Alligator mississippiensis: one gene and its partners. The protein of the gene in region 3 interacts with the protein of the main gene of each other region in a pairwise test. Links are inferred from orthologs where the notes say so. Each region holds a gene or a part of one and is shown on either strand. Other genes may lie near its edges. The genes, in order: AP1G1, AP1M1, AP1B1 and KIF13A.

The links.
Region 1: the proteins of AP1B1 (region 3) and AP1G1 interact in a two-hybrid assay, tested with the Homo sapiens proteins (2 studies listed by BioGRID, with this or other methods). The link is inferred for Alligator mississippiensis from reciprocal best matches to the Homo sapiens genes AP1B1 and AP1G1.
Region 2: the proteins of AP1B1 (region 3) and AP1M1 interact in a two-hybrid assay, tested with the Homo sapiens proteins (2 studies listed by BioGRID, with this or other methods). The link is inferred for Alligator mississippiensis from reciprocal best matches to the Homo sapiens genes AP1B1 and AP1M1.
Region 4: the proteins of AP1B1 (region 3) and KIF13A interact in binary tests that used the Homo sapiens proteins (3 or more experiments, as listed by UniProt). The link is inferred for Alligator mississippiensis from reciprocal best matches to the Homo sapiens genes AP1B1 and KIF13A.

What each region holds. Positions count from the first base shown.
Region 1 is NC_081833.1:77,568,205-77,576,186, forward strand, and holds the start of AP1G1 (AP-1 complex subunit gamma-1), read left to right. Parts: upstream 1-4,980; 5' UTR 4,981-5,098; intron 5,099-5,185; exon of another isoform or gene 5,186-5,289; intron 5,290-7,982. Other genes in the region: ATXN1L (ataxin-1-like), read right to left, coding at 2,238-4,364. UniProt on the Homo sapiens protein: Subunit of clathrin-associated adaptor protein complex 1 that plays a role in protein sorting in the late-Golgi/trans-Golgi network (TGN) and/or endosomes.
Region 2 is NC_081839.1:225,079-232,960, forward strand, and holds the start of AP1M1 (AP-1 complex subunit mu-1), read left to right. Parts: upstream 1-4,877; 5' UTR 4,878-4,942; coding exon 4,943-4,984; intron 4,985-5,909; exon of another isoform or gene 5,910-6,073; coding exon 6,074-6,230; exon of another isoform or gene 6,231-6,612; coding exon 6,613-6,680; exon of another isoform or gene 6,681-6,767; intron 6,768-7,882. Other genes in the region: protein FAM32A, read left to right, coding at 1,400-1,476, 1,567-1,705, 1,968-2,021, 3,798-3,866. UniProt on the Homo sapiens protein: Subunit of clathrin-associated adaptor protein complex 1 that plays a role in protein sorting in the trans-Golgi network (TGN) and endosomes.
Region 3 is NC_081833.1:26,528,789-26,535,796, forward strand, and holds the start of AP1B1 (AP-1 complex subunit beta-1), read right to left. Parts: upstream 3,016-7,008; 5' UTR 2,925-3,015; intron 1-2,924. UniProt on the Homo sapiens protein: Subunit of clathrin-associated adaptor protein complex 1 that plays a role in protein sorting in the late-Golgi/trans-Golgi network (TGN) and/or endosomes.
Region 4 is NC_081826.1:127,634,164-127,641,374, reverse strand, and holds the start of KIF13A (kinesin-like protein KIF13A), read right to left. Parts: upstream 3,013-7,211; 5' UTR 2,684-3,012; coding exon 2,629-2,683; intron 2,120-2,628; exon of another isoform or gene 1,935-2,119; intron 1,136-1,934; coding exon 1,042-1,135; intron 1-1,041. UniProt on the Homo sapiens protein: Plus end-directed microtubule-dependent motor protein involved in intracellular transport and regulating various processes such as mannose-6-phosphate receptor (M6PR) transport to the plasma membrane, endosomal sorting during melanosome biogenesis and cytokinesis.

The DNA of each region.
Region 1 (7,982 bases), about 51 Mb from region 3:
CACACCTTGCACACAACCACAAGTCTCTGTCCATACCACTACAGCCATGCCATGGTTACATTCTCCCTTGCTTAGTCCCCTGCCTTAGACTGCCGGAAGCCACAGGCCAACTGCCTACCTGTGACACAGCAGGCCTACAAGCTGCAAGCAGAACAGGAGGGACAATGTTTAGGCACAAGCTGGGCACCTGGACCAAATGGTGCAGTACAGGGCAGGCGGCTACCTCTTTGCTGCTGCTGCCCAGGGGACAGGAAGCTCAGGCAAGGTCACTGAGGCTTTAGACCATGGGATTACAAGGACGGGTGGCCTGACCTGGGAAGCTGCAGAGTCAGCACCTGTGCCTGGGCAAGGCCACAGGCATGAAGGCTTGCGATACTCTCCTGATTTTAGGACCAATACGGCAGGGAATGTGACTGCTCGCCTGGGGAGAGGCGGGTGCTGATACTTTGGAAACAACAGAAACCGTGTCCAGGAGTGTTTTGGGGCCCTAGGGCTGGAGGCAGGAGACAGGCATGTGGGAGGGGACATGCTCTGGGCACTGGGCTCCCGTGTACTGTAGAAGCACCAGGGCCAGCTCAGTCTGAGGCACATCAAGGGGGATTTGAGTGAATATTAACAAGCTCCCAGGAACAGCTGCAACCAGTGTTGCAAAACAACATGGGACAGATCAGAGGTTCAGGGGGTGCTGAGCGCCCTGCCCAGGCAGGGTGGTGCCTCCAAGCAGGAGACAAGCCCAGGGTTGAAAACAACAGAGTGGTAACAGAACTAGGGTGAGAGCAGCAGAATCCCAGCAAGGGGATCAGGGCATGTGCCCTCCAAGAGACACCCACCCTCAGCAGCAGGATCTGGACACAGCTGACAACCTGAACACCACACAATGTCTACTCCTGCACAGACAATGCCTGGGTCTTGTCCTTTCTTGACCCCTACACCCATGCCATCCGAGGCAGCTCCATGCAAGGCTGCCGGCATGACTGAGTGCTGCCCGTACAGCGTTATCCCTGAATGATGCCTCAGCTTCAGCCCATGTCCACCTTCCCCATGACTGGTCTCCATTCTGTGGGGTGGCTCGGCACTGGCACCCAGGGAAGAAGCCCCAGCACAGCCGGCACAAAGACACCTATGACATGGCCCAAGGGGTGGCAACGCTACTCTGAACACTCCTGAATGACTGGTGGCAGTGAATGCCTGGCCTAGACGTGGCTCTTCCATGTCTGTAACTTTTCTGGGGACTTCGCCTGGAGGGGGCGAGCAGCCACCGGGCAGACTTCCCTCGGCTGCAGTTTCGTGCTCCCCAGTGGAAGGACAGGTTCTCACGCTCGCTGCTGCTCCAGCTGCCCAGAAGCCTGCCTGCAGCTGAGCCCAGGAATGGGACATCTGAGCCAGAGGGATTTTTCCTTGGAAGCAAGCACATGCGAAGGGAGGTTTGAAATGCAGCCTCGCCGGCTCCTTTGCTATAGCACCTGCCACTAGGAAACACAACCATCGGACTCAGATTCGGTGGCAAGTAATTGCGTTTGGCGTTATCACAGGAACTACCAATACCTCCTGCCACAGCACAGCTGCCTGAGGCCCCTACTTGCCCACACCCCACTCCCCAACCTGGCCCTCCCTCTCTGGTTTCCTTCAACGCTTGCAGGGGTTTTGCTAGCAGAAAGTCCCATGGGACTGAGTGGAGGAGACATGTCAGGGAGAGGCTGTCGGAGAAACACCTGCCCCCACCCCAAGAGCTCAACATGTGACGAAGTGTCCTTTTAAAGTGCATGTGTGAAAAGTGGGGAGGCTGGGAGCGGTGCCCCTGGCCCCCGCAGGGACCCAGCTCCCCACCACCATAGAGAGGAACAAACACTTCCGATACTGTATCTGCTACCTTGGGCTGTGGCTTCCTGGGTCCGCCCCTCCCGCCCCCACCCCCGAGTGCTCCATCCCCGGCCTGCAGGACGCTCAGGCACTCAGGGGCGTGCGAGAGCCCCGAGCTCTGGAATGCTTGTGGCCACACAGCCATGACCACATCCCCCATCCTCCATCCCTAACTCGCCTGTTGCTGCTGCTCCCTGAGGCACTGGAGCCCTCTGGATTCCAGGAGAGGATCTGATCAGTGACTGAACAGGAACCGAACCAGCTCTGCAGGCAGACAGCAGCCTCGCCGGTCAACCCGTCGCTCAGTCTGTGCAAAATCTCCACCTGACAAAGGGGGGCTCAGCCAGGGGCATGACCCAGGTGAGGGCCTCGCAGCGTTACTTCCCGGCATTCGAGCGCCCTTCAATGGACAGCTTCACTTCCTGGGGGATGAAGGAGGGACGGAGCAGGGATGGCCGGGGCTCCTCCCCCTGCGTGGTACATCTTTGGAAGTTGGGGGCTGTCCAGCTGTGCTGGCCACCCGGCTCAGGCTGGGAGGGCTCCGCACAGGCAGCGTGGGCAGCGCTGTCCCTTTCTGCCTGGCTCTTCCTCTCACTGTGCAGAGGTGCAGGGGGGTGCTCTCTGGACCCCTGCACCATTCTGTCAGCTCGCTCCCTGGCAGGCACAAGCTGGGTCGCGGGAGGGCAGGTCGCCTGAGAAGCAGAGTTGCCATTCATGTTCTGCAAGCTGATGGAGATGCAGACATCCCCCACCTGCAGCCTGTGGCAGGGCAGGGCGAAGAGCTGGGCAGTCCGCGCCGGGCTGCAGGAGGACCAGCCCTGGCCATACACGAAGAAGGGGTGCTCTGGGGGCACGTCGATGCTCACTTTGCTCTGCTGCTCCCCCACTACAAAATGCAGCATGACAAACCCAGGCCATTGGCTCTCCTGGATATCAACGACTGTGCTGGAGTCGATCTTCAGGCCCCCGCTCACCTCTGCACTGCGCACAAAGTCCTGGGTCTGCAGATCTTCCACCCGCTTCAGCTCTCCGGTGGCCAGTTGGATGATGGCTCCTTTCATGAAATGGGAAGGCAGATGGGAGGAGCTGGGGGGCTGCACCGGGCCCAAATCCTTGTCCAGCATGTTCCCCCGGGCCAGTGTGTTGGGACTCTGCCGTATCAGGGTCTCTGAGGAGGAAGACCTGATGGGCTCGGACCCGACCGGCACTAAAACCGGCTTGCCGTTGGCTATCGCCATTCCTTTGGTTAGCTGTCTGTATCTGGCTGGCTCCTCGGGGGACATTGCATATGGGCTCCTGGGCTGGCTCTTCTCTGCAGCAGCAGCAGCCGCCTCCATGGGACTCCTCCACAAGTCCCCAGACTCCCCTTGCTGATCAGGGATGTTATGGCAAAGGTTTAAAGGGCTCAGGCCATCCTTCTTCTGGGCTGCCAGAATCGGGTAATCCTGAGAGGCCAACACCCCAACCACCCTCTGTACCTCCAGGTCAGTATCCGGGGTGCTTCTGTGAGCTGGCACAGAGACCTCTGCTCTCAGAGTCTGGTAACCTGAAAGGAACTGTCCATCCAACACGCACTCCACGGCCGCCCCACACAGCTGGGCTTCGGCTTTGCTGCTGGCACAGTCCACAGCCTCGCCAGTCCTCCGCACCACGTGATGCTCTAGATGTCTCTGCCCGCCATTGGCAGACGCTGCGTCCGAATTCAGCTGATTCTCTTGCGCGGGAGGATCCGGGCTTCCAGCGGCAGCAGACATCTCGTACGCAGAGAAGCCCGGGGGCAGCCGGGACATGTGGTAATAAACAGGAAGCCTCCCCTGGGCTATGTCCAAAGGCTGGGCGCCAGCATGGTGCTGGACCTGGCTGGAGGGGGAGAGGGCAGAGGCAGGCTTGCTGAAGGCGTGGGCGGGAGAGGTAGTCGGAGGGGAGGCGGCGGCAGCGGCGGCTTCCTCGGTCAGCAGAGAGGTGTATGGCACGAAGTGGGGCACGTGCGAGGCGCCCAGGCCGGCGGAGGGCGAGAGCAGGGGGCCGGGCAGGAAGCCGGGCGGCACGGCGTAGGGCACGGTGTAGTGCGGGCCCACGAGCTGCAGCGAGGCGGGCGGCAGCTGGGCGTAGTGCAGCGGCGGGTAGGGCACGCCTGCGTGCGGCAGCAGCGACGAGGCCACGCCGAAGGCGGGCGGCAGTGGGCTCATGCTCACCACGGGCGGCGGGAAGGCGGCGGGCGGCACGGCCACCTTGTACAGCAGCCCGTACGGCTCCAGCGGCGGCCCCGCCTCGGCCCCCGGCCCCGGCCCCGCGCCCTCCCCGGCCGGCCCGTAGCGCGAGGGCGGCGGGGGCGGCGCGGGGCTGCGCGCGGCCGCGCCCCGGGCCCAGGCGGGGCCGTCGCCGGGCGGCGCGTGGTTGGCGGCGCCGAGGGGCGGGCGCGCCGCGTCGTGGCTGGCGGCGCCGGGCAGGTCGCGCTTCTTGGGGGGCAGGCACTCCTGGCTCCGCTCGTGCGCCGGCCTCATGCTGCCGCCGGCCCGCGGGCCCCGCCGCTCCGCGCCGCCGCCTGCGCCTCACCTGCGGGGGGAGGGCGGAGGACAGCGTCAGCGCCGCCGCCGCCGAGCCCCCCGGCCCCGGCCCCGACCCCGCTCCCCTCCCCGCCACTCACCCGCCATCGCCCGGCGCCGCCGCCCCGGCCCCCATCGGCCCGGCCCGGCCCGGCCCGACCCGACCCGACCCCTCCCCGCGGCGCGGCGCGCGGCGATGACGTGTAGGCCGCGCGCCGGAAGCGCCTCACCCCGCGGGGGCTGGGGCGCACGGGAATGACGTTTGGCTCTGTGTTGCCATGGCTACCGGGCACCGCCCGGGCCCGGGCCGGCCTGTCGAGCACATCACACAGCGCGCGGCGGCCCGAGCGGGCTCCGCGCAGCGCCGGTGCCCTGGGCTCGTGCCACCTGGCCTAGGCCCGCAGCGCCGCACGGGCTGTCCCGAGGCCGCGGGCAAGGCACGGGGCGCGACGGAAGTGGGCGGCGGGCGACAGGAAGGGGCGGGGCCGGCTGGCGGGCGGAACCTTGGCGCGGGGCCGGGGGGCCCGATCGGACGGGTACAGCCGCGACACCCACGGCCATCAGCGCCTGACGTCATCACTGCCTGCCACGGCGCTGCGCAGCCTCCGCGCACAAGAGAACGCGGCGCTTCCGCCGGGAAAAGGAGTCCCCGGCCCGGCCCTCGCCCGCGCTACGCGCCCGCCGCGCCCGAGGTGAGTGCGCGGGGCGGCCGCGGCGGCTGCGGCGGCGTCCCCAGGGGCGAGCAGGGGCGGGTGCCGAGCGGGCGCCGCCCGAGGGCGCGGATCCCTCCGCCTGCCGTAGCGGTGCTGAGGCCGCCGCGCCGCCATTTTGAACGCCTGGCCCTGCCGCCGCCTCGTCCGCTGCAGGCGCCCGGCCCGGCCCGGTGAGTGCGGCCCCCCCGCCCCGAGCCCCGGTGTTCGCCCCGCCCCGCCCCGTCTCGATCTTCTGCCCCGCCCCGTCCCGCCGCGGCCCCCGCCGGCCCTGCTCTGCTTGGCAGCCGCGCCCGCCTTCCCCGTCCCGTCCTCGGCTTTCCCAGCGCCTCGTGTGCTTCTGCTGCCTTCCCTGTCCCCTCCCGGACAGGTTTTCCCGGCACCAGCAGGAAGCGGACGAAGGTTTTACACGTCTGTCTCGGGGGCGATAGGTATTTCTTCTCGCAGGGGTCCCTCCGGACTGGAGGGTGCCGGCCGCAGCGGGCCATGCGTTCGCCCCGGGGCTCGCATGCGGCGTGCGCGTCCCGCTCCGGCCCGCGCGCGGCGGTCTGCAGGCCGACTGTTCCCGAACAGGCGATTTTGCGCGTGCAGACGGGCGCCTGCGACACGTCCCGAGGGGCGAAGCCGTGGGGCCGCTCGTGTCGCGTTGGCCGGCCGCGGCGAGGGATCCTGGGATGGTGGCACCGTCCCCTCGAGCTTGTCCAGCTCCGCGCGCGTTACAGCGACTGCCGCTTCCTGTTTCGGCTTGCGTTCACTGGCAGGGGAAAAGCCTCTTCGCCGCCGGCAGCGAGCGTGTTTTTCCTGGAGACCGGCTCCGACGTGGCGGCGCTGGTTGTAGCCGTTGTGCGACGCGCGAGGCAGCGGTGTGGAAACGGGTCTCCCGGGGGTGCTGGCGACTTGGGGTGTATGCTTCTTTGCTTACTCCCCGACTTGGCGGTGCCTCTTCCTCCGTGGCGCCCCGGGCCCCAGCACTGCAGCTCACAGCAGTAGAGCAGTTACAGATTTCACTTTTCTATTTAATATATTGCTGCAAAATAACTTGCTTTCTTTTTTGGCTGTGGTGTGTTTCACACTTGGTTTCCCTGGCTTCAGCATCTGTTTTCTCTTGCTACACTGGAAGCTTATTTTATCTGTTTTCAGGGCCTGTTCCTTTCCCCCTGTTGTGTGCACGGTCTTTCTCTCTCTCTCTCTCTCTGCCTGTCTCGCTTCTCGTTATCTGCTTGCATCTGCTCTCTGTGGGGGATTCACTTTACCAGACACCTGAGAGTTCAACTGAGGTGAGAAGTTTTGCTCTCCCAAGTATGAGCAGCATGGACCCCCTCTGCTTCTCCTTTAGGCTGGGAGTTCACCTTCCTACATGGGTGTGATTCCTGGATCTCACATGTATATTCCTCCTGCTAGGTATCTGGTAGGTTTGAGACCTCATCCTAGGATGTACAAGGGAGAAAATGAGCACTTTGCTCTGGCCCTAACAAGAGGCTGGTGGCTGCTGTGGGAATGACTTCTCTGCTAGCCTGTCCTTGTTCTGAACTCCTCTTGGTTTGGAGGGTTTTCTGCTCCAGTGAACAAAGCCAGTGTTGCCTTTCTGCCTACGCCAGCCAAACGGCAAGAGAAGGCAGTCTGATTTTGGAGAGCGCCCTGCACAGGGTCCTGCATAACATCACAGACAGCGAGGGAGGCTGGGAACTTTTCACACGACTCCTTGGCAAAGCTCGGGAGAGCAGCCGGGCCCTAGAGATGGTAGCAGACTTAGGCAGGTGCTGCACTGATTCTTCATGTTTTAGATTTGGAAAGTCACTCTGGACCTTAAGTGGTAGAAGCTTCTTAACACATTTTTGGCACTTAGCAAGGAAAACTTACGTTCCCTTTGAGAGTGGCTGTTTAAGCCCTCTCTGAGGTTTTGGTGATTTCCATAGCCTGAAACTGACCTTCGGTTTCTTACCGTGCTAGGAATAGGCAAACTTGTTTGGAGTGGCCTATTTTAGATCTTTCTCTGATGCTTTCTAGGGCAAAGTGTCTGCTCTACTGTTGTGTCGGCAGCTACATTATTGGATTAGGATTCTTGGTGCTGGTAATTGCAGGACATGTAGCAAATCAAGCTGAGGCTGGTAAGTGGTGAAGAGTCATGGTCACCTGATGAATGTGCCAGACAGTTGTGCTTGAGTTGCTTGTGGGCCCCTCCTTGTGTTACAGGTGGCAGTAATTGGCTCCATGCTTGTAGTTTGGCAGAGGCCACAAGTTGAATGGACTGGGGAAGTTGAAGGCTACATCTGCTCTGAAGGTCATGCTTCCTGGGCTTTGGCTGAGGTCACCTGACAGCATGCAGTGATGCTGCCTAAGCAGTGCACCGTGAGCCCCAGGGTTTCCATCTGGCCTTGAAAAAGGGTTCTTCTCTGCTGGGCTAGAGCAGCAGCCCAGAGGTTCTGGGGTCTGCTCTGGAGCTGAAAAGATGCATCTGTATATCGGAAACCAGAGCTGAGTGTTGATCGTATTAGCAGGAACAGAGGAGAACAGTAAAGGGCAGCATGGTTGTGGTGACTGAGGTGTGGGTACTCTGGCGTTGTAATCCTGCCTGTCTCACTGATTTATGGTGTGGCCTTGGTGATCTCCCTCCGCTCTCCATTGCTTAGCTTCTAAAGGGGTAATATTCACTTGTTCAGCCAACCTGTCCTGATGCAGACACTTGAGCCTTATGCACAGTAAAGATCATAGAGAACAATATTGGTTCCCCCCCTCCACTTTTGGGCCACCTGGAATTGTTTTATCTTCAGAAGACTCTTGCTGCTTCAATTTTTTTTAATGCTGCTGGAGAAGAGTGCTGCTTCCTTTGTGAGGGTGTTAAAGGCCTGGCTTGCAAGAATGCTGT
Region 2 (7,882 bases), on a different chromosome or scaffold from region 3:
AAAAATGCAGACTGCTAAAAGCACTAGGAATATCTTCCTTCCTTTAATAGTCAGCGTCAGCAGGAACCCTAACAAAGGATTACAGTATCATTGAATCATAGAAATTTAGGGTTGGAAGGCACGTCAGGAGGCCGTCTAGTCTGACCCCCTGCTCAAAGCAGGACCATCCCTAAAGTCCAAAGTCTTTTTCTTTTTAAAAGCCACTGTAAACAAAACCAACCCCCCCCCCTCAAAATCAACCCCATATGTGCTAGTAATTAGAGTTTTGATTGTCTCCATTAAAGAGCATTTGAAATTAATTGTTGCAGAGTCATAATTGCTAATTTATAATTAAGTTAAACCAACAAAATAAATGCAACTATCTCATTTCCCCATGAAAACCAAGGATCATGTCTTCAATATATTTATGACATGTTTGCTAAAATGGAAAAGTGTAAATTATACACCCGTTATTTAACAATTTATAATATTTATCTGGTGGGCATAATTTTGAGAAGAATTTGCCCCACTGTTGGTTTTAACAGTGTTAACTAGGCGTTATCTTGATACTCTGATCCCTCTCGGCCTTTCAGGTATAAAACTGAAAACATACTGGGAGGGAGGGAGGGATATAGGAAACTTTCCTTTGTTAGAAGAGGGAAATGCCCTCTGGCTCTGGGTGCAGAGTTGGACACAGACCCGTCGGTTACAGCAGAGGGTTCGATGGGGATGTCAGGAAAAACGTCTTCAGTGTCAAAACAGAGGCAGCGGACCAGACATCTGGGGAACCTGGAGCCTGTCCGCGAGGCTGATGGGCAATGGTCGGAGAGGACCTGTGCGTGCCACGCCTGCGCTCTGCTGTGGGGACTGCCCAGGCTTCAGGGCTTTTCTGGGCCCCATATGGGGCCAGGAGGGAATTTTTCCCTCAGAGGCGGAGAGCCGCTGCAGCCAAGGCTGCGACTCACGGAAAGTCTTGGCCCTCCGCGGGTCAGAAAGGACTTCCCCCCAGGTCTCTGCCGTGTCCCTGGCCCTCTCTCAGGGATCCCTGCAGCTGACTCTGCCTTGCAGCCAGCCGCAGGGCGGTGGCTGCTGTGGGCTGTCGGCCTGCCCGGGGCGGGCACTGGAGGGCCCAGACGGGGTCTGTGGGGGCTGGCCGTGCCCCACAGCTCCTCCTCTCTCCGGGACTGCACCCAGGACGGTCCCCGCGGGGAGCTCTGCGCGCCCGGGGCTGTTGCAGGTCCCGGGAGCCGCGGGCTTCCCGCCGGCCGGCGCCGCGCGCGCGCTCCCTCACTCCGGCTGGGCTGGTTGCCATGGCGCCCCGCCCCGCCGCGCAGCGCAGCCTATCCCGACGCGCCTGGCGGGCGCGGCCCGGAAGTGCTCTCCACCCGTAACCCGGAAGTGCCGCGAACTCGGGGGAGCCATGGCGGAGTACGAGGGCGTCCAGCGCGGCTCGCTGCGGCTCAAGGCGAGCGGCGAGGCCCCGGCGGCGGCCCGGCGGTAAGCACCTCCTCCGGCGAGGGAGGGCGGCGGGGGCGCCCGGCTTCCCGCGCTACTTTTCATGCCGCCGCTCTGGCTCTGTCCCCGCAGGAAGAAGAGGAAGGACAAGGAGAAGAGCAAGATCCGGGACCAAACCGTGAGCAGCAAGAAGCAGGAGGAGGAAAAGAAGCGCGGCCTGGACAAGCGCACGCCCGCGCAGCTCGCCTATGAGAAGATGCAAGAGAAGAGGGTACGGGCCGGGCCGGGCGGCTCCTGCTGCCGGCACCGAGCGGCGGGGCCCGGGTCGGGTGGGTGGGTGGACGGGCGAGTCCGCAGAGCCCCGGCCCGCCCGCACGAGTCCGCGCTCTGCGGGAGTCGGAGCTGCGCACTCGCAGCGGCCCTGACCCAGGTTACTTCCCCGAAAAGATAAAGTGCAGGTTAAAAGGGAGGTGTTTTGTTGCGGTGAAAGGAGCTAGCATGACAGCGACCTGTGTCTGTTTTCACTTTCTCAGCAAATGGAAAGAATCCTGAAGAAGGCTTCCAAGACCCACAAACAAAGAGTTGAGGTGAGGATACGATTAGCCTTGTTCACAGTGTGTGTTCCCTTTGCTGTCTAGTCCAAATTATCCACCTGTCAGGATATGCAATTCAAATAGTTATTGTTCTAATATGTTTGTCTGGAAAAATCTCTTGCCATAAGTAATATGAAAGCTGTAACTTGCATGTTCTGGGCTCTGCTTGCTTTTTTAACAGGAATCAGTGGTGGGTGATTAGCAGGCATCCTGGTTTTCTGTTTAAAAATCAGTTTCTCTGATAAGAGGCAATGTTCTCCAGTTGTAACCTGCAGTCAGCATTTTTCCGTGATTAAAATGAAGTGCTACTATCTATATGGTATCAGTTCAACATCATGTTTTATTGATATATTTACTTTTTAAAGCAATTTGGAGGCCTACCAGTGCCTCAGTCATAAAATAAATTCTAAATACCTATATACTTTAGCATTTGATTTTGTTTTTTTATCATGGAACATCTGAATTCCCCCTGCCCCCTTTGCTCACAAGATGTAGGCCCAGCTGTGGCTGTCCCCTCCACTGCTTTGTAGCACTGAGATGACAGTCCCCGGGCCTTGCTGGTGCACCTCACTCCTGATCTGTTGCCCCCAGCCCCCCAGTGCATAAGGAGGGAGTGGGTATAGGCAGTGTGGTGGGGTGTGGGCATGTGCTGCCCAATTTCTGTGCCCACAGCAGGGCATAGAGTGCAGGGCTGCAGCCTGACCATACCAGCTCTGGGCAGGAGCCACCTATGCAGCCCGGCAGGTGGGACCCAGCATGGGAGAGAGCACCTCACTGCCAAGATGAGGCCCCCTGCCTCCCCAGCAGCAGCAGGGGGCACAAGTCTCTGCCTCTGCTGCTGTTGTGCCTCACCTTGGCAGCCATGGGACTGCATCGCTCCCTCTCGCTCTGGGACCCGCCTGCTGGGCTGTGGAGGGAGGCACCTTCTGCCCAGAGTTGGTCTGGCCCAGCTGAAGCCCTGTCCCTCCGCCTCTGCATCACCTGTACATTTCCCCCACGACTGTTGCCTGTGTCCCCATAGACGTACCTGGCGGGAGATGCTCTCTACCACACTGACTAGCTGATGCATGCATTTCTATGCGCACACATGCATGTGACACCCTGTGTCTTGCTTCCCACAGCCCCTTGCAGGCTGGAACTGTGCCAGCCTGTGAAGGAAACCCATGGCTTCCCAGGTTTTTCCAAAAGCTCTTGGAACCAAAAGTTCTTGCCATCAGATATTGGAATATGTACCAGACTAACTGAGGCATGAATGTAATGAAATGTGATGGATTAGGATAATCTTTACAGAAAGAAAAGTTGATAATAGAGGAACACATCAAACTGGTGGGCTAAGAAAGGTAAATTTGATTGGTATCGTGTATTGTCTTTAAATACAAGAACACAGAATTATTCAGTTAAATTTAAAAGGCTACCAATTGAAAGCTGCTAAAAGGTAACTAACCCATATGGTTAACAGCCACAGGATACAATTAAAGCCTAGAATTCAGTGGGTTTCAAAAAATGGATTAATCATTTTATAATGAGAGGATGTTAGAGATATAAATCCACATGATTCAGATCAAAAGCCAACTGGGCTATCCATTGCATAACTGTCTATTGTACAGCTTTTTGGCACCTTTCTTGGTGGCACCTGGTACAAGATGCTGACTAACGGGATACTGACCTAAATTTTCAACTCATTTAATCTGGAATTACTAAATTTAAAGTAGGCAGAAAGCATGTTCAATATTCCAGAAAGTTGACACACACTTTTTTTTTCTCTCCTAGGATTTTAACAGACACTTGGATACTCTGACTGAACACTATGACATCCCCAAAGTCAGCTGGACTAAATGAATAGCTTTTCTTACTCGGTTCTGGATTATGAGAAGCATTTATATTGGGAGGATTTGCCTAGCGTAAATTTCTGTGATCTCTGCATTGGATACCTAATTCATTTTTTAAAAAACTTTTGCATGCTGGCAGTACTCTTTAAGTGCTTGTTTAGAAATATGTACAGCACACCCCCACCTTTACTGAACAATGAATAAAGGCCCTAATCCTCCATTTATCTGCAGAAGTCCCCTTTTTTAGAGTTTGTAGGAAAACTTCTGGAGAAATTTCATATGTAGGGTGTAACGATCACTGGTTGACAGTGCCTTCTTTTGAAACAAATGTTTTTGACAGTCTTTTTTTAGATGCAGACAAGTTACCTTATTGAATTGTTCCTCCCTGGGTACTATAAACCTGTAATCTGTTTATAACTTTTCTAGAAACTCTAGAAGGTCAAATAAAAACTGCATTTAAAATAATTTTTAAAAAATGTACCTGGTGTAGGGGATGAGGAGGGGATCTTGACAGCACTTTTCCTCTGAGCTAGGCTGTACCTGCTAGCCTGTGTTTGCCGTCTTTAGCGGAACCATAAATGCAGCTCTGAGCACCTTGTAAACGCACGTTGGGGTTGTTCCCTCGCACGTGAACGGTGCCCCTTTCTGAGCCCCCAAATCCTGCTGTGCACTTTGACTTCCTCGCTGGCCCCCGAGCTCGTGTACAGCGCGTGTAAGACGTGGCACAGAAGAAGCGGCAGTGGGAATTCAGTTACTGCTCTCGGCTGTCTGCTGCCTGTGCTGGGCAGGGCCCGCCCGCGGCTCAGCACAACGCAGCGCGGCTTTCTGGGGACAACTGAGCACCGGAGCGGAAGGCTCTGACCCGGCGCCTCTTTGCCGAGCCTTCCCGGCACCGGCACCGCCCCCGCTGGCCGGCCCAGGACCTCACAGCGATGGCGGCGCGCGCGCGTCGCCAACCCCGGAAGAGGGGACGAGGCCCCGCCCCGCGCGCCGGGTCGAGCTTCACAGCTTCCGGCGGGGGCGGAAGCGGGGCTACTTCCGGCCGGAAGTGCGCGGGCGAGGCCGCGGGGGGCAGGAGCCGGCAGCATGTCCGCCAGCGCCGTCTACGTGCTGGACCTGAAGGGGAAGGTAGGCCTGGCTGCGGGCGGCTCCCTGGCGGCCCGGCCGCGCCTCCCCATGTCCTGCCGCCCGGGGCCCGCAGGACAGGCCGGCTTCTCTCGGGCCGCCCCTCCCCTCCCCTCCCCGAGGGCTGGCAGCGGCGCTGCCCGAGGAGCACGGGCCGGTGGGAGCCGCTCCGCTGCGCGCAGGCTTCCCTGAGTCCCAAGGGGCGTGTTTCGCTTCTCTGCCGAGCGGCAGCGCAGGCTCTGTGCTGTCTGACGGCGGGTTTGTGCACGTCTCTAGCTGCCAGGCGTCCGCACACCCTCCTCACGGCGGAGCAGTGCCGTTCTGTCGGTGCAACACTTCTCGGTCCATGTATACAATCTAATTGGAGAGTCGCCCCAAACTTGTTCCCCCACCCACCCAGCTGCAGCAGCAGATGGGGGGGGGGGCAGCCAGCGGGGGTGGACTGGAGCAGCTTGCCTCCTGCTGCCGGTCGTTCACCCCCACCACCCTTAGCCCCCTGCATCCTGATCCCTTTGTGCCTGTCGCCTTCTGGCGAAAGGCTCCCCACAGGCACGCCACCTCACTTCCCACCACCTTGGGGCCCTGTCTTTGCTCCCTTCTGGCCACCCCTCCCTGCTTACCCTGGCTCCAGAGGGCTGCCCCTGCTCCATCCTGGGGCAAGAGCGCCGTGGCCATGCGTGGCGTCCCAGACTGGAGTGGGGACAGCTTGCCACAGCAAAGGCGATTGGGGGGGAAGACAGCAGCTGCAGCTCTGCCCAACCTCCAGTCAGGGTTGCAGCCACAGCAGCTGCCTACTCTTCTCCCTCCATGCCTCCCCCTCACAATAGTTGATCCCAAGATAAGGGTTTTTTTCCCCATGTTAAATGGGAAAAAAATCTTGTCTTGGTATCAAATACAGTGTGTTGTAAATAAAAGATTTCCACAAGCATTTTGTAATTTAAATAACCAAGTGGTTTGTGGTTCCACCATACAAGTATCAATTTTAGTCACTCAAATTAGTTGACCTCCATTTCCAAAGGTCATGTATGTTATTCAGATGACCACTTCAGGTGTGTTGTCCATTTGGTTCTCTATTGTACTCATCCATTGCAGGTCCTCATCTGTCGAAATTACCGTGGAGATGTCGATATGTCAGAGGTTGAGCATTTTATGCCGATCCTTATGGAAAAGGAAGAAGAAGGAACACTTTCCCCCATTCTAGCTCATGGAGGAGTTCGTTTTATGTGGATTAAACATAACAATTTATATCGTATCCTTTGGAGTATAGGCTACTTAATAGGGTGGAAATGTTGACCGTGTGAATTTTCACAATGGAAGTCAGCATGGCGGGGGAGAGGGGGGGAAGGTTTTGCAGAGATAAAAAACAGTTAAGGTCAAATTCCCATTAAATACCCTATGAACCAAAAATATATATGTTTAAGTGCCAGTGCAACCAGTATTTTCTCAATGCTTACCTGTCTTTGCTTTTCAGTAGCTCAGCATTTAGAAATGAAATGGCATACCTAATGAATGGTTTCCTGAGTTTTTGGGTCAGCTACAGTGCCTTAGTAAACGTTTTTGAAAAGGGATTTAAAAATAAAATTAAAAAAATGGGAACTTTGAACAAACATTCCTAAACTTACTTTTTTCAGTTGTTGCAACTTCTAAGAAGAATGCTTGTGTCTCTCTGGTGTTTTCATTCCTCTATAAGGTGGTTCAAGTGAGTACACAATTGATAAAGTACTATTGTTCTTTCAGGGAAGTCATATTGTTGTTTACAGCTTTAGAGGTCTTTGAATTCTTACTGCTGCGTAGAAATAGTACATCTAATTATGCTATGGTTATATTTTGGTGATCCTTTTGCATTAACTACTAATATTTTATTATTGCACATCAGAAGGGCTTTGACAAAAACAAAAATCAATACCTTCCTCATTTCAAAGAGCATATAATCTAAAAGATACCCAGAAAGGAAAATAGGAAGCCCAAAAGGAAAGGTCATCTTTGGGACAACTGCTTTGTATGCACAACTAGCATTGGAAAGATTAGAAAAATGTAGTGGCATGGTGAGCTGAAAAAGGATATAAGGGGCAGGAACAGGGAAGGAAACAAACATAACAGTTACTGTAGAGGAAACCAAAAGTGGGAGATACAGGAATATTGTTGCACAATTACTTGCAGTCAGCCTTGAAAATATGGATGTGACTAGGGGTGCACCGATAAAGACTTTCTTGGCCGGTACCAATAGGGGATTATTCAAGAGGCATATCGGCTGATACCGATCCAATAACCGATTTCCAGGAACACAGCTGGGCAGTGTCAAGAGCAGCTCCCGACAGGTAAGTCTGTGGAGGGAAAGGGACATGGTGGAAGGAAGGGGTTGGGGCAGATCAAAACCCCCACAGTGTGGGAGGCAGCAGGGTAGAGGCTGGGGCTGGAAACACTGCCCAAGCAGGGCAATGAATGGGACCCTGGGGCTGGGGCAGTGAGCAGGATGGAGCTGCAGGCAGCTCATTCAGGGGATGAGCATCTCGGTGCCTAAAAATGGCAGCAGGGGTGCTTGAACTAAAGCTCATTAAATGAGCTTTAGTTCAAGTGCTGCCGCCATCATTTTTAAGTGTGGGGATGCTTTTAGGAGTAGGGTGGAGGTGGGCTAGCTGCTGTGGGCTCAGGGCTTTCTACCCTGCTGCCTTTGCCCCAGGAGCTGTGCACTGGCCATGTGTTCCCTGACCACCTGGCAGCAGGAGGCACAACTTGCCACCCCCACTGCTGGGAGATGGGCAAGGGACATATGGCTAGCGCACAGCTCCCTGGGCAAAGGCAGCAGGGCAGAGAGCCCTGAGTCCATAGCAGGCAGCCCGCCTCCACCCCACATAAAAATCCAGAGGAGCATGTGCCCTCCCATGCCTGAGCATGCATGCA
Region 3 (7,008 bases):
GCTATAAACCATGCACCAGATGGACAAATGGAAGTCAGCACCATGATAAGCTTGACCCTTTGGCTCTCAGACACAGCAAAGCAGACATCCTCACCATCAACACAACACCCTTCATTCTCAGGCTATCTGTACATGAAGGAGCATGTGGCAGGACTGAAAACTGCTATTATTTACACAGGATTCATCCACCCCCACTAAGAAAGTTTAGCACAAGAACAGGGCTTCGGGACTGAATGGCTTCTAGGACTGTAGGCAGTAGCAACTTTTCCAGAGAGAGAGAAAGTCAACATCTATAAGCCTGAAGTCAAGGCTATATACAATAAATTAGGAGTGCATCAAAAAAGATTTTCTTGGCTGGTACCAATAGCCAATTATTCACCAGGCATATCAGCTGATACTGATCCAACAGCCGACTTACAGGAGCACAGCCAGGCTGTGTGGAGAGCAGCACCCTGGAGGCTAATCTGTGGAGGGGAAAGGGCATAGGGGGGCAGATCGAAGCCCCCACGGTGAGGGAGAGAGTGGGGTAGTGGCAGGGAATGGGACAGAAATACAGGCAGCTCATCCAGAGGATCAGTGTCCCAGCACTTAAAAATAGCAGTGGGGGTGCTTGAACTAAAGCTCGTCAAATGAGCTTTAGTTCAAGTGCTACCACCACCATTTTTAAGCACAGGGATGATATTAGGAGCAGAGCCAAGCAAGCTGAGGGCAGATGCAGACCACCCACTGTGAGCTCAGGGCTTTCCACCCTGCTGCCTTTGCCCTGGGAGCTGTGCGCTGCCTGAGCCATGTCCCCTGCCCACCCAGCAGCAAGAGGCACAACTCACCACCCCCACTGCTGCTGGATGGGCAGGGGATGTGCAGCCAACATGCAGCTCCCTGGGCAAAGGCAGCAGTGTGGGAAGCCCCAAGCCCACAGCAGGCAACCTGCCTCTGCCCCATGCATAAGTCTGGGGGAAGAATATGCCCCCCACAAACCTCTCCCAGAGGGGCACACAGCAGCAGGGAGCCACCCCCACCCCTTGGATGAGCTGCCTGTGGCTCTGTCCCACTCTCCGCCCCAGCCCAAGTCCCATTCACCATCCTGGCTGGGCAGCATCCCAGCCCTTCCCTCACTGTGGGGGCCTCCATCTGCCCCACCCCCATACCCCTTCCCCTCTACAGACTTACCTGCAGGTCACTACCTCCTATGCTGCCCAGTTATGCTCTTGGTCACCTGCCCCCAGCCAAAAGGTGTATTTTATTTATCAGTACTTCTACGCAGCTAAATTTATTTTGCTCTGGTTATATTTTAGGTTTCTCTTGGCTTGTGACCTCTGATTGCCAAATAGTGTTGCACATCTTGTGTTACCGGTTGCACTTCCAATTCAAAGAACTGCTTTCCTCTCAATGTGAGGACCATCATGTGGATGGAGTAACTACAAGGGTCACAAGTTGTTTCCACGGAACTATTGCCTTCAGCCAACACAGTGGCACTACCAAGAGAAGACTCAATTAATGCCATAGTACAAATGATTTTTCACATCATGCAGTTCAGTGAACAGCCACATAGTAACAGTATCTTGCAAGTAAGTCATGCTGATTTGTTATCTCAGCCAATATCGCCCTTCATCTTGTAACAAACTCCAGGCTGTTTACCTTCAAATCATTAATATTAAGAATTTCATTCTGCCACTGAGGCTCTGCAACGCAGCAGCCTGGCATGAGAAAGACCTTGCAGCACCTGCTCTCAGCCTAGTAGGCTCCACAAGGAGGAGAAGCACGGAGGTTGATGGCTTCATAAAATTAATGATTCATGTCACTGACTTCATTTGATGGTGGGGAAGTGAAACATCTCTCCTTGCAATTCAGCTTTCACTGCTCTTATGCACAAGGGGGAACCCCCCCCCCACACACTTACCAGCCAATTTTATACACCCACACAAAACCAAATCCTGACAAGAGCTGCAAGAATGTGTTAGTTATCACCACGGGAAGGAGGAGAGAGTTACAGCAGGAACACATGGGAAGCCGACAGCAAACCTACAGGTCTACCTGGGCTGCTCGATCCCGCTTGTAGAAGCGGGCATGAATTCGAAGCCTGGGGGGCTGCTGCGCTCTGTACAAGAGATCAGGTTTAGAGTTTCAAAACGCTGCTTCCCAAGAAGTGAAGGGCTTGTAGGCTGCTTGCAGGTCAGCTTGAAGTTTCAGTTACAGATATCAGGCCAGTGTGGCCTTGCAGGGAAAAACAGTCGCGCATTATACACAAGGCCTTGCATTCCAAAAGCTTGTCTAGCTTAACCCACCTCCCTAGCAGGTCCAAGAAGAGACACTGCCCTAAGAAGCCCTTGCCGCTCACATAATTTCTGGACTATCGCAGCTACAACACTGCTCTTATGCCACCACCCCCCCCACACACACAGGAGTGCCAGCAGCACGGGACATGCAGATAGCACAGTACTCTGCTCGCTGGGGACGGTTACTGGCTGTGCCAAGGGCCTCGAACAGTGAGACCAAGCTCTCTTCTGAAGAGAGGAGTGTAAGGAGCAGGCAAGAGACGCCAGGGAGCGTGCAGGTGCAACAGGGTGGGGGAGCTGGGAAGCTGGACCCTGCCCGTATCAGCCACAGGCGAGGTGACCGCAGCTCCCCAAGGAGACAGCCCGAGCCCGACCCCCGGCCACAGACACGAGAGCAGCGATTCCGAGCCGGGGCCGCGCAGCCCTGGGAGCCCCGAGAGCCTCTCGCGGGTGGGTGCCCGCAGCGCCACCCCCGGGCGCGGGGCGAGCCTGAGGCACGAGGCGCCCCCCGGGGGCCGGGGCTTCCCGCGCGCCCAGGCGTCGCGTCCCGTCCCGCTCCCGGCGCTTCCTGCCCAGGCGCCGCAGCCCGAGCCCGAGCGACTCCAGCCCCGCCGCCCGCACGAGCCACAACAACAGCTCCGCTCCTACCCGGCGGCCCCACCGCTGCTGCTCCACCCGCGGCCGCCACTGCCCCCGGCCCAGCGGAAGTGAGGGCGCGCAGCGGAAGTGCTTCCGGGTCACGCGCGGGAGGTGGGTCTTGTGCGCGGGAGTGGGCGTGTCCCGCGTCCCGGGCCGCGCTCTGCCCGCGGGCCGGAGGCTGCGCAGAGCCGCCACGTGCGGCGCCAGCTGCACGGCGCGGGGGCCGCGGCAGGGGTACTGCAGACCCATGCCCCAGTGCCAGGGCACCATAGACCCGCTCCCGAGCTGTAGGTGGGGCGCGGAGGACGGGTGGCAGAACGGACTGCCCGACCCACGGACAGGCCCCACGTGCATGTGGCCTGCGGCTGGGTAGAGACTGCGCACCGCTGCTCTACTTCCAAATAAAAACCTACAATCCTCCATTGCTGTTGGTGCAGCCCAGTAAGGGAGGAGACTTTGAAGACAGGGATATGAGGTATTTAGTAAGGAGTAAATGAACGTTAGGCTAGAGTCCTGTGTCCGGTTTCGGGGGCCCCACTACAGAAAGGTTGTGGACAAATTGGAGAGACCCCAGCAGAGGACAGTGATAATGGTTCGGGAGCTGGGGGGCATGACTTCTGAGGAGAGGCTGAGGGAGCTGGGCTTATTTAGTTTAGAGAAGAGGAGACTAAGAGGGGATTTACTAGCAGCCTTCAACTACCTGAAATGGGGTTTGCAAGCAGATGGAGCTGGACCGTTCTCCGTGGTGGCTGATGACAGCACAAGGAGCAACGGTCTCAAGTTGCCACTGTCACAATCCAAAGTTGTGACTTCTTGTTTGTGTGTGCGCTTTGGCACTGCTAAATTATTTCTCGCCAAATTTGTCACTTTCTTTGCACGGTAAAGCTCTCTGCTGCTAGAGAGAGCTCTGGTGCAATGGGGGATTTCCCGCCAAATTACAGCTTCTTTGCAGTATGCATCTCTTTTGCATCGTAGTGATGCTCGCTGCAAAGAAGTTCCCACCATCTGTATTAGGGTCTACACCATGTTATTGGCCAACTCCTAATTTAGGCACACGTGGCAGCTAGCGATTGGCTTGCTAGCCGTACATAAGGCTTGTGTGGTTTCCACCCAAGTTGGAAGACTCCAATAACACCGGAGGAGGGAGGAGAGAGAGATATTCTGTGTGGAGATCTCCAAGCGCTGTGGACCCTCGCGGACCCGGCGCGCCTCCCCTAAGCAGGCAGAGAGAGGTAACAGAACCGAGCCTACGGAGCTTTCGCTTCTCACCTCTCCCCGTCGCCGAGCGCAATCCTAGACGTATCCCTTTCCTATAATTTCGGACCCCGCGGAGCCTAGCAAACTCCGGGGAAAACGTATCAGACCCGCGGAGCCTGAATACCTCCGGGGAAACTTCGAACCCAACTTAACCGGACCCGCGGAGCTTCAGCAACTCCGGGGAATAGACACCGGACCGAGCTCAATTTTCGCACCCACGGAGTCTTAACAGCTCCGGGGGCCTGGGAACCGAATAACAAAATCCGCGGAGCCTAGCAAACTCCGTGGGAGCAATCGTTTTGTCAGAGTCCTCCAATGAGGGTTCAAGCGGGAGCTGTGCCTGGAAATTTGTCCAGCCTACACCGATATCATCTTTGGGTATAAGTAAACAATCTTTTCAATCAACCGTTACGCCTCCGTGACTAATTCTAACTCGTGTGCACAAAATCATCCCGCGGTTTCTCCCACCCCGCGTGTCCGGGCTGACGGCCACAGCCCGCGTGTACCGGAGACGGGTCTGGTACGACCCCGGTTCGCCCCCGGCTTGCCCATGGCGGCCAGAATGGGATCGGAATCACCGCCGCGCATGGCGACGAGGGCGGGCTCGGGGCCCGGCCCGCACAGCCACAAGGGAAGTTTAGGTTAGATATTAGGAGAAACTTTCTCACATGGAGGGTAATAAAGCACTGGAACAGGTTACCCAGAGAGCTTGTGGACTCCCCATCCTTGGGGGTTTTTAAGACCTGGTTAAACAAGGCTTTGGCTGGGATGATCTAGGTGGGGATGGTCCTGCTTGGAGCAGGGGGTTGGACTAGATAGGATCTCCTGAGGTCCCTTCCAGCCCTCCTTGTCTGTGATTCTATGACTTTACTCTCTAGCAGAAGAGAAGTGGAGACATGATGCAGAAGCTTATACCAGTGTAAGTCACACTGGCATAGTTGCCCTGCAGAAAGTCAGGAGCATCTTCTAGACACCTGCATAAACTGATAGACCAATTCGGTGGTGCTCAACTTTCTAGCCCCTCAGGCTGGATCACACGGACAAGTTTGGTCTATGGGGCTCTCCACAAACCCAGAAGTTTGGTGGCAGGGAAATGGCAGCAATGTTAATTGATACAGCTCTGGAAGCCACCAGTAATGCTGCCACTGCTCCTGCTGTTCAATTTCCAGACCCGTGGGGAGCCCCATGGGTCAGATGACATGGTCCCATGGGCCAAAGGTTGAGCACCACTGGACTAGTTTTATGTCCGCTCCTCTAGTTAGTTTCATCCCAGGGCAGTCTTTTGGTCAAAGACCTTTTAGTTCCCCTTCTCCCTAGCAGCTGGGCACTGCAACAGCTCCTACCATGGGTGGCTAGCCTGGAAGAGCTGGTCCTGTGTCTTCTTGCTATGCAGTAAATTCCAGAATATATCACTCTCATGTTGTGTTGTGCTTGTGCCCTCAACAAATAAGAAATTAACTACAGATAACTGAGCCATAGACTTGCTGCCCCAGCATTTCCACCCATGGCTTGGAAGCACAGTCAAGAACACAAGAACATGAGAATTGCTATTTTCTGGGTCAGACGTATGGTCCAGTTTACCCAACTCCTGGGTCACACAAGGGCAGAGTATGGATGCTGAATGGGAGAGTGACCTGGGTGTGGCCAGGGTATTTTTCCACTGTTCCTCTCTCACTTGCAGCCTCCAGCATTTAAAGTCTAAGAAGTTCTGATTCAGAGGCTGTAGCCCTGACTCCTGTTTGTGCTCAACAACTATGGATGTGCCTTTCCTCCAAGAATCTAACCAATCTACTTCTGAATCTGTCTAAACTGTCAGCTTCCACAACACCTTGTGGCAAGAAGTTCCACACTAATTACAAGCTGTGTGAAAAATAATGTATTTTTGTTAGTTTTAAACTTAGTAGCAACTCATTTCATTTTGTGACCCCTAGTTCCTGTATTGTGAGGAGTGGCTGCGGCTACACAAGATGCTGACTGTACAGTAGCCTCATGCTACAGCGCAGTAGCATTGCATGGTAACAACCATGATGCAACCCTACTGCCCAGTATTATTAAGCTACTGCACAGTAGTTTCACGAAAAAGCTGCTCTTTGGTGCTACTGTGCAGTAACTCAGGTTACTGTGCAGTCAGCATCTTGTGTAGACATGGCCAGTAAATAATAAATCCTTATTTACTTTCCCTTCACTGTTTAGCATTTTGTAAACCTTTATCATGGGCCCCCTTCCTCCCAAGTGTCTTTTCTAAACTGAGTAGGCTTCGAAGTTGTTAAAACCTATAGGTACTTGGGTGTGATGTTTACAGCTTTTCCATCATGGAAACACTACATTCAGTCGGTTAAAACTAAGGCAGCCCAACTGGCAGTGGCCATAAAGAAATTTTATGAAACCACAGCAGGACAATCAGTCCAAGCTCCCATATTAGCACATAAAGCCAAAGTTGCGTCTCAGATCCTGTATGGTGCTGAAGAATGGGGCTATGCTGCCAGTAATGATGTGGATATACCTCAGAATAAGTTTCTCAGGGCTCTTATGGGTCTTCCTCCTCCAACTTCCACATCTGTCCTGAGATTAGAGATGGGATTAGATTCCATTTTAACTAATATTATTATTAGAATGGCGGGATTCTAGTTTAAAATCCTGCCTCTTCTACCGCCTTGCCTGCTCAAATTGTACTATATAGAAGACATCAAAAATCTCCCTTCACTTCAGTCTCCCGGCTAGCTGTTCTCTCTCGCACTTTTGCATTTTCTGGGAGAGGACATTATGTCAAAGACAATGAAAGACTCTTCTCCCCCAGAGAAAAGGCCTGGGTTTTCCAGACGCTCCGAGATAGTGC
Region 4 (7,211 bases), on a different chromosome or scaffold from region 3:
CACCAGTCAATTGCAATCAACTAGTTTCACGACCACTGCTTTACACAGATTTCAAAGCCAAGCCAAGCCAAAAAACAAAAAGCATCTACAGTTATTGGATAGGGGGGATAAAGTTACAAGACAATACCCATAAGCTATATCTACCCAAATTTCTGCTCTTAACTAAAAATATTTTTTGGAGCAACAAGTACAGTCAACAAGTAATTGAAAAGATCAGCACACAATGCAACTCTTGCTCTCACTTCCCCACTTTTTTTTTGCCCTATTTTGGGGGCGTGGGGAAGTCTTTCCTGTTCCGATCTATTTTTAGTTTGGTGCACTGGTATTTTGGACCATTTCCAAAAGTAGTCTTTATAGGGGCTTCACAACTAATGCCAACTTTCCCATTTATTTTAGCACACTCCTCTAGTACTTCATAGAGCAGCACAGCATTAACAAGGGATCCAGCAGTTCCAACATTTCAAATGCAACTATGCTGCAACCTAGGAAATACAGTCTTTAAAAAAAACAAAACCCAAAAAACAACCCCTAGCATCTGCAAAATTCAGAGCACTCTTCTGCTTTCGTAAATCAAACCTGAAGGTTACGGCAGCTCATTAACAGTGTCCCTATGACAGAAAGGGCCAAAACTATTACCAACAATCATAGCTGACCAATCATCTACCTTATCTAATAGTCAACGAAACAATCAACTTTGAACAGTGAAGTCTACAAGTGATCGCCTTGCGTCCACACACATAATACCAATGCTCCTAATTCCTCCGAGGGTTCCTGGAACCAGAAACTTGGGGCCTAAATCCAATGTCTCACTGATGCAATTCCATTGAGAATAACCCTAGTTTACAATGCTGTGAGCAAAAGAGCATCAGACTCCTTTCTAGCCAGTCGCAACGGCCTCCAAAAGAGACCCAGAGTGATTTGAGAAACTGCTGCTCCTTTAACAAAAGTGCTCAAACAATTCAAGGTCCTAACCCACTGCTTCATCCAAGCTAGGCAGGGTCAGACATAGGCCGGGGGAAGCAATCTCTTTTGTGTTTTTACCTGTTTTCTCCCTGTTTGGTGTTGGAAGGCGGAGGGTGCAGCACAGTCTGATTCCCTTCCATCTCCACAATACACTTGGTATTCAAGTCCAGCTCTGGAAGAGAGCAGGACAGAAAGGGTTTTACCCACTGTCTGAGAAACCTCCACCTGGCCCCATGCACAAAAGGGGGGACACACACTCTCTCCACAAGGATTTCTGCATACCCTGCCCCTACACAGAGGGGGACAGCGCCACACAAAGTTTCTCCACAACCCTCTTCCCCCAGGCTTCTTCACACCCTTCCCCTGCACAGCACAGCTCCCTCCCCACAATGTGCCTTCTTTACATGGTCACCCTGCAAAGGACAGCCTGCCTCCCCCCTACCCCCAGGGGTTCTCCACATCCTCCCCACTTCCCCATGCACAGAAGGGGACCCCCACACACAAACCCACACTCCAAAGGGCTTCTCTGCATCCTCCCTCTGCCCCCAGGCACAGGAGGGAACACACACTACACACATACACCCCTGCAAATCCCCACACACACCACAAGGGCTTCTCCATATCTTAACCTTACCTCCAAACACAGAAGGGGACATCCCTCCCCCACAACACACAGGGCTTCTCCACATCCTCCCCCTGCTTTCATGCACAGAAGGATACACCCACAAATGCATACACGTGCACATTCACAGGGCTTCTCCACATCCTCCCTTTACCCCAATGCATAGAAAGGGACACTCCCCGTGCACATGTGCATGCATGCACGCACGTCCCCCAGGGCTTCACCACATCCTCCCCTCACCCCCATATAGAGATGGGAACACCCCCGCACACACAAATATATACACACATGCACATGCCTAGAGCTTCTCCACATCTCCTTATTTCCATGCAAAAGGAGACATACATACCTACATCAGCATGCACACATGTACACAGAGCTGTCCCGGGTGGGGGGTGGCAATTGGGGCATCTGTCCCAAGCCTTGTGCTTTGGGGGGCCCCATGGACAGTGCTGTACAGGCCCAGCCACAGCCACCGTGTGCCACCAGCTCTGTTGCAGCAAACCGCCAGCTCCATGCTCTGGCCGCTCGCCACCCGTCCCCCCACCCTACTTACATGCCCTGGACTTCACACACCCCTAAGGGATGGCTCTGCACATACACACACCCCCAGCTTCTCCACATCCTCCCTCTGCTCATACACAGAAAAGAACAAGCCCATTAACGCACCCACCTTTCTCCACATCCTCCTCTTACCCCTATGCAAAGCAGTGGACAACCCCAGGACACACACAGATGCACAGGTTGTCCATGTCCTCCCTTTGCACAGAAGAGGACACACGCGGTCACTCACTCCCCCTCCCCCCCCAGCGGGTTCTCCACATCCCCCCTTCCTCCCGTGCACAGCAGAGAGCACCCCCACACTCCCTGCCCCCCTTCTTCAACCCTTACCCCATGCCCAGCAGGGCGCGCACACGTCCCCCGACGGCACCCCACCCCGCAGAGAGCCCGCAGGGGACCCATGGCCGTCGAGGGAGGACAGGACTCCGCGCTGCCCCCGGCCCGGCGCCCAGGAGGGGGGTAGGGCGGGGGTTGGTGCTCACCTCGGCGGTTCATGGGCCGGACCCTGACGGCCACCTTCACCTTGGTGTCCGCCATGGCCAGGCGGGTGGGCGGCGGCGAGGAGGACGGTCAGCGCCTCAGCGGCCGGGGCTGCCGGGCCATGCCGGGTGGCTGGGCGAAACGGCGCCAGTGATGGGGCAGCCCCGGCCGCCCCCGCCTCCTCCCCTCGCCCTCAGGCCGCGCCCGGCCCCCGCCTCGCCTGCTCAGCGGCACCCGCCGCCATCTTGCGGCCGCGCCGGCCCCGCGCCCAAACCTCAGCCCTGGAAGACTGGACTGGGGCGGGGGGGGGGAAGACGGGGTACGGACGCCTCCGGAGAGAGCCGAGTGTCTTCGGGAACCGAGCGAGGGCCGGGGCGGGGCCGCGGGGCCCCGCCCAGCGGGCACCACCTCGCCCCACCCACAGCAGGCGTCTCCGCCTCCCGAGCATGCGCAAACCGCCCCCCCGGCTCCCCACACCTGGTGCGGATATCTCTGAGCATGCGCAAACTAGCCTCGCCCATCCCCAGGTGCGGATGACTGAGCATGCGCACACTGCCCCTCCTCCCCTCGTGCGGATGTTTGCGCAAGTGCGGTTGGCCCGTCACGTGTTTGCGTCGCACTTCGTCCCGTGTCACGTGCTCAGAGCTGGGCTCTGGAGGGCAGTGAGGAGGGTGGGCAATGGGGAAGGGGTAGAGCAGGGTTAGTTTAAAGCAGGAAGATTAAGGAGGGGTGGGCTGAGGTGTGGTCTTTTGCAGCACACCTCTTGGCAGAAGGGCTGCAGAAGGATCTAGAAAGTTTAGCAACTGGGCAACTGAATGGTGGGTGAAATGCAAGGTAGCTAAGGATCAAGTGAAGCACCAGGGCAAAAAAAATAACCCAAACTATCCCTACACTGTGATGGGGGCTACGTGATGGGTTGCCACAGGGGAAAGATCTGGGAATCATGGTGAGCTACTGGCCAAAAACAACAGCTGACTACCCAGCAGCTATTAAAAGGCAAACAAAATGTTACGATTTAGTACAAAGGGAACTGAAAATAGAATAGAAGTGATTACTTCGGGGATCTGGGTCTCCTCTGTTTTAAAATCACAAATTCTTTGATAAAAACACCAAACTGCCACTGCCCACCCCTGCTGGTACCCTTTGCTCCCCCCATAGCCTCCCCCCACTGTTGTTTATGCTCCTCACTCCCACCCTGCAGCCCCCCAGCCCTGCCAGTGCCCTTCACTCACAACCAAGAGCCTCCTGCCGCTCCAGCCCTGCTGGAGGGGGCCCCTAGCTGCCAGGGCTACAGGGCCAGGAACCTGGGTCCACAGCCCCCTGCCTCCCACAGCAGCGTCAAAGTCCCAGTTGTCGCCTATAGCAGGCAGCGGCTGCTGCGGTGGAGTGGAGCGCGGAGCCCTGCTCTCCCTCCCATCTGGGTGTCATAGGTTCATAGATTGTAGAGTCAGAAGGGACCACAACAGAATATCATGTCTGACCCCCTGCCTCTGGCAGGAAATAGGACTGAGGCCAGATGACCCCAGCCAGGTGACTATCTAGCCTCCTCTTGAAGACTTCCAAGCTAAGTGATAGCACCACCTCTCTTGGAAGCCCATTCCAGATCCTGGCCACCCTTACTGTGAAAATGTTCTTCCTAATATCTAACCTAAATCCAATCTCAATTAGTTTACACCCATTATTCCTAGTCACTCCCTGGGGCGCCTTAGTAAACAGCTTCCCCTATTCCCCGTTGACCTCCCCTAATAAGTTTATAGGTGGCCACAAGATCTCCCCTCAGCCGTCTCTTGTAAAGGCTGAAGAGATTCAGCTCTCTCAGGCTTCCCTCGTAGGGTCTATCACAAAGGCCGCTAATCATGTGAGTGGCCCTCCTCTGACCCATCTCCAGATTCCCTGCGTCCCTCTTGAAGTGCGGCACCCAAAACTGGACACACTACTCCAGCTGCAGCCTGACCAGTGCCGCATAGAGGGGGAGCATCACCTCCTTTGATCTATTAGTCATGCACTTGCTAATGCACAACAAGGTGTGATTGGCCTTGTTGATGGCCTCGTTACACTGCCAGCTCATGTTCATCTTGGAGTCGATTATGACTCCAAGATCCCTTTCTGCCTCCGAGCTGCTGAGAAGGACACTCCCCAACATATAGGTGTGCTGGGGGTTCCTCCTTCCCAGGTGGAGTACCTTACATTTATCTTTATTAAATTGCATCCTATTTCTCTCTGCCCATTGATCCAACCTGTCCAGGTCAGCCTGAATCTGCTCCCTGCTCTCTGGTGTACTAACTTTGCCCCATAACTTGGTATCATCAGTGAACTTGGAGAGGTTGCTCTCCAAGCCCTCATCCAAATCGCTGATGAAGATATTGAATAATATCGGTCCAAGGACCGAACACTGCAGGACCCCACTGCCCACCTCCCTCCAAGCCGAGAAGAAACCATCCACCACCACTCTCTGGGTGTGGTCCCTAAGCCAGTTGGCCACCCACCTGACCGTGTAGGCATCCACTCCGCAGTCTGCTAGCTTCCCAATGAGGATAGGGTGCGAAACTGTGTCGAAGGCCTTCCTAAAGTCCAGGAAGATGACATCAGCCTCGGCTCCCACGTCCAGGCAGCGTGTGACCTGGTCATAGAAGGCTACAAGGTTTGTCAGGCTGGTTCCACCTGTGACAAACCCGTGCTGGTTTCCCCTCAGCATCGTTTCCCCTGCCGGGCCTGCACAAATGTGTTCTTTGATTTGTGCGGGCCGGGCCCCGATCCCGCCCTCATCGCCATGTGCGGCGGTGATTCCGATCCCATTCTGGCTGCCATGGGCGAGCCGGGGGCGAACCGGGGTCGTACCGGACCCGTACTCGTTGCACACAGGCTGTGGCCAGCAGCCCGGGCACATGGGGCTGGAGAGAACCGCGGGGTGGTTTAGCGCACGTGAGTTAGAATTAGTTACGGAGGCATAATGGTTGATTGAAAAGATTGTTTACTTACGCCCAAAGATGGTATTGGTGTAGGCTGGACAGGTTTCCAGGCACAGCTCCCGCTTGAATCCTCGTTGGAGGACTCTGACAAATCGATTGCTCCCACGGAGTTTGCTAGGCTCCGTGGGTCCGGTTAAATTGGGTTCGAAAAGTTTCCCCGGAGTTACTTAGGCTCCGCAGGTCCGAAGTTACAGGAAAGGGATACGTCTAGGATTGCGCTCGGCGACGGGGAGAGGCGAGAAGTGAAAGCTCCGTAGGCTCGGTTCTATTGCCTCTATTGCCTGCTTAGGGGAGGCGCGTCGGGTCCGCGAGGGTCCGCAGCGCTTGGAGATCTTCACACAGAATCTCTCTCGTCCTCCCTCCTCCGGCTTGGGCGGAAACTACCCAAGCCTTTTGTACGGCTAGCAAGCCAATCGCTAGCCGCCACGTGGGCCTATATTAGGAATGGGCCAATAATGTGGCGCGAATACGAATACAAATGGCAGGAACTTCTTTACAGCGTGCATCACTATGATGCAAAAGAGATGCACACTGCAAAGAAGCTATAATCTGGCGGGAAATCCCCCGTTGCACCAGAGTTCTCTCTTGCAGCAGAGAACTCTACCGTGCAAAGAAAGCGACAAATTGGAGGGAAATAATTTAGCGATGCCGAAGCGCACATACAAACAAAAAATCACAACTTTGGGTTGTGACATCCCCCCTTGCTGAGAGCATAGCTAAATTATGCCACACTCTTTCGAGCAATCTAGAAGTTTGTCGTGATCATCCAACGAGTAAACAAGCCATCAAGCAAATACACAAACATAAAATTCGCTGTCCTGGGATCAAGTTACATAACAATCAAGAAATAATAATCAACATAAACACAATCTGATTCATAACAAAATTGCACTATCAGGGCTTCAATGGGCATCGTGGCGAGGTCACACGTCTCCTCACTCTCCTCAGTGATGTCATCTCTCTTAAGGCTCCTCCTCGCCATACGCTCTGAATTCCGGATCTGTAAACAGAAAACTCTCAAAACAGATTAATGACCTATTTTAACAAACTTAAACAATTTTAAACGATTCCTATGGCTTAATTAGACGAGATCGTCGAAGATTCATCATCTGGTTCTTCCAAATACCGGAAACCTAACTCATAAGCTAATTGCCATTGGCCTGCATCCCCTAAAATCCGAAGCTGCCGCTTGTTAAGTCCAGAACGCTGTAGGAAAAATCCAAACATGTATCGCTCCTCTAGGTTTCTCGGTGGCAGTGGTGGGAGATCGGATCCACGTCATCTGGTGCCCTGAGGCCTAGTCAGGTGTTGACAGTCCCGATCATAAGACAATCTTGGCTCCATCAGGATACGCAGTCTCAGCAATTGACAAAGAAGATTACTCTTTAATCACATTTAAATTCCGTAGCCATAAGATCTAGCCATGAAATTATAGCCTCTTCAGATTCCATCTCAGATTCTTTATAACATTGTTGTAGATCTGTCCAAGCACGAATGCGACTAGTGATGACATCTCGCCCATCCGTTGCCGGGCCAACCGTGATTGCAGGGCAAGCTGTTTTTTCGGGAGTCAATGTTGTTAAAGGCTGAACTGCTGCCGCGGGGGTTACTGCTGC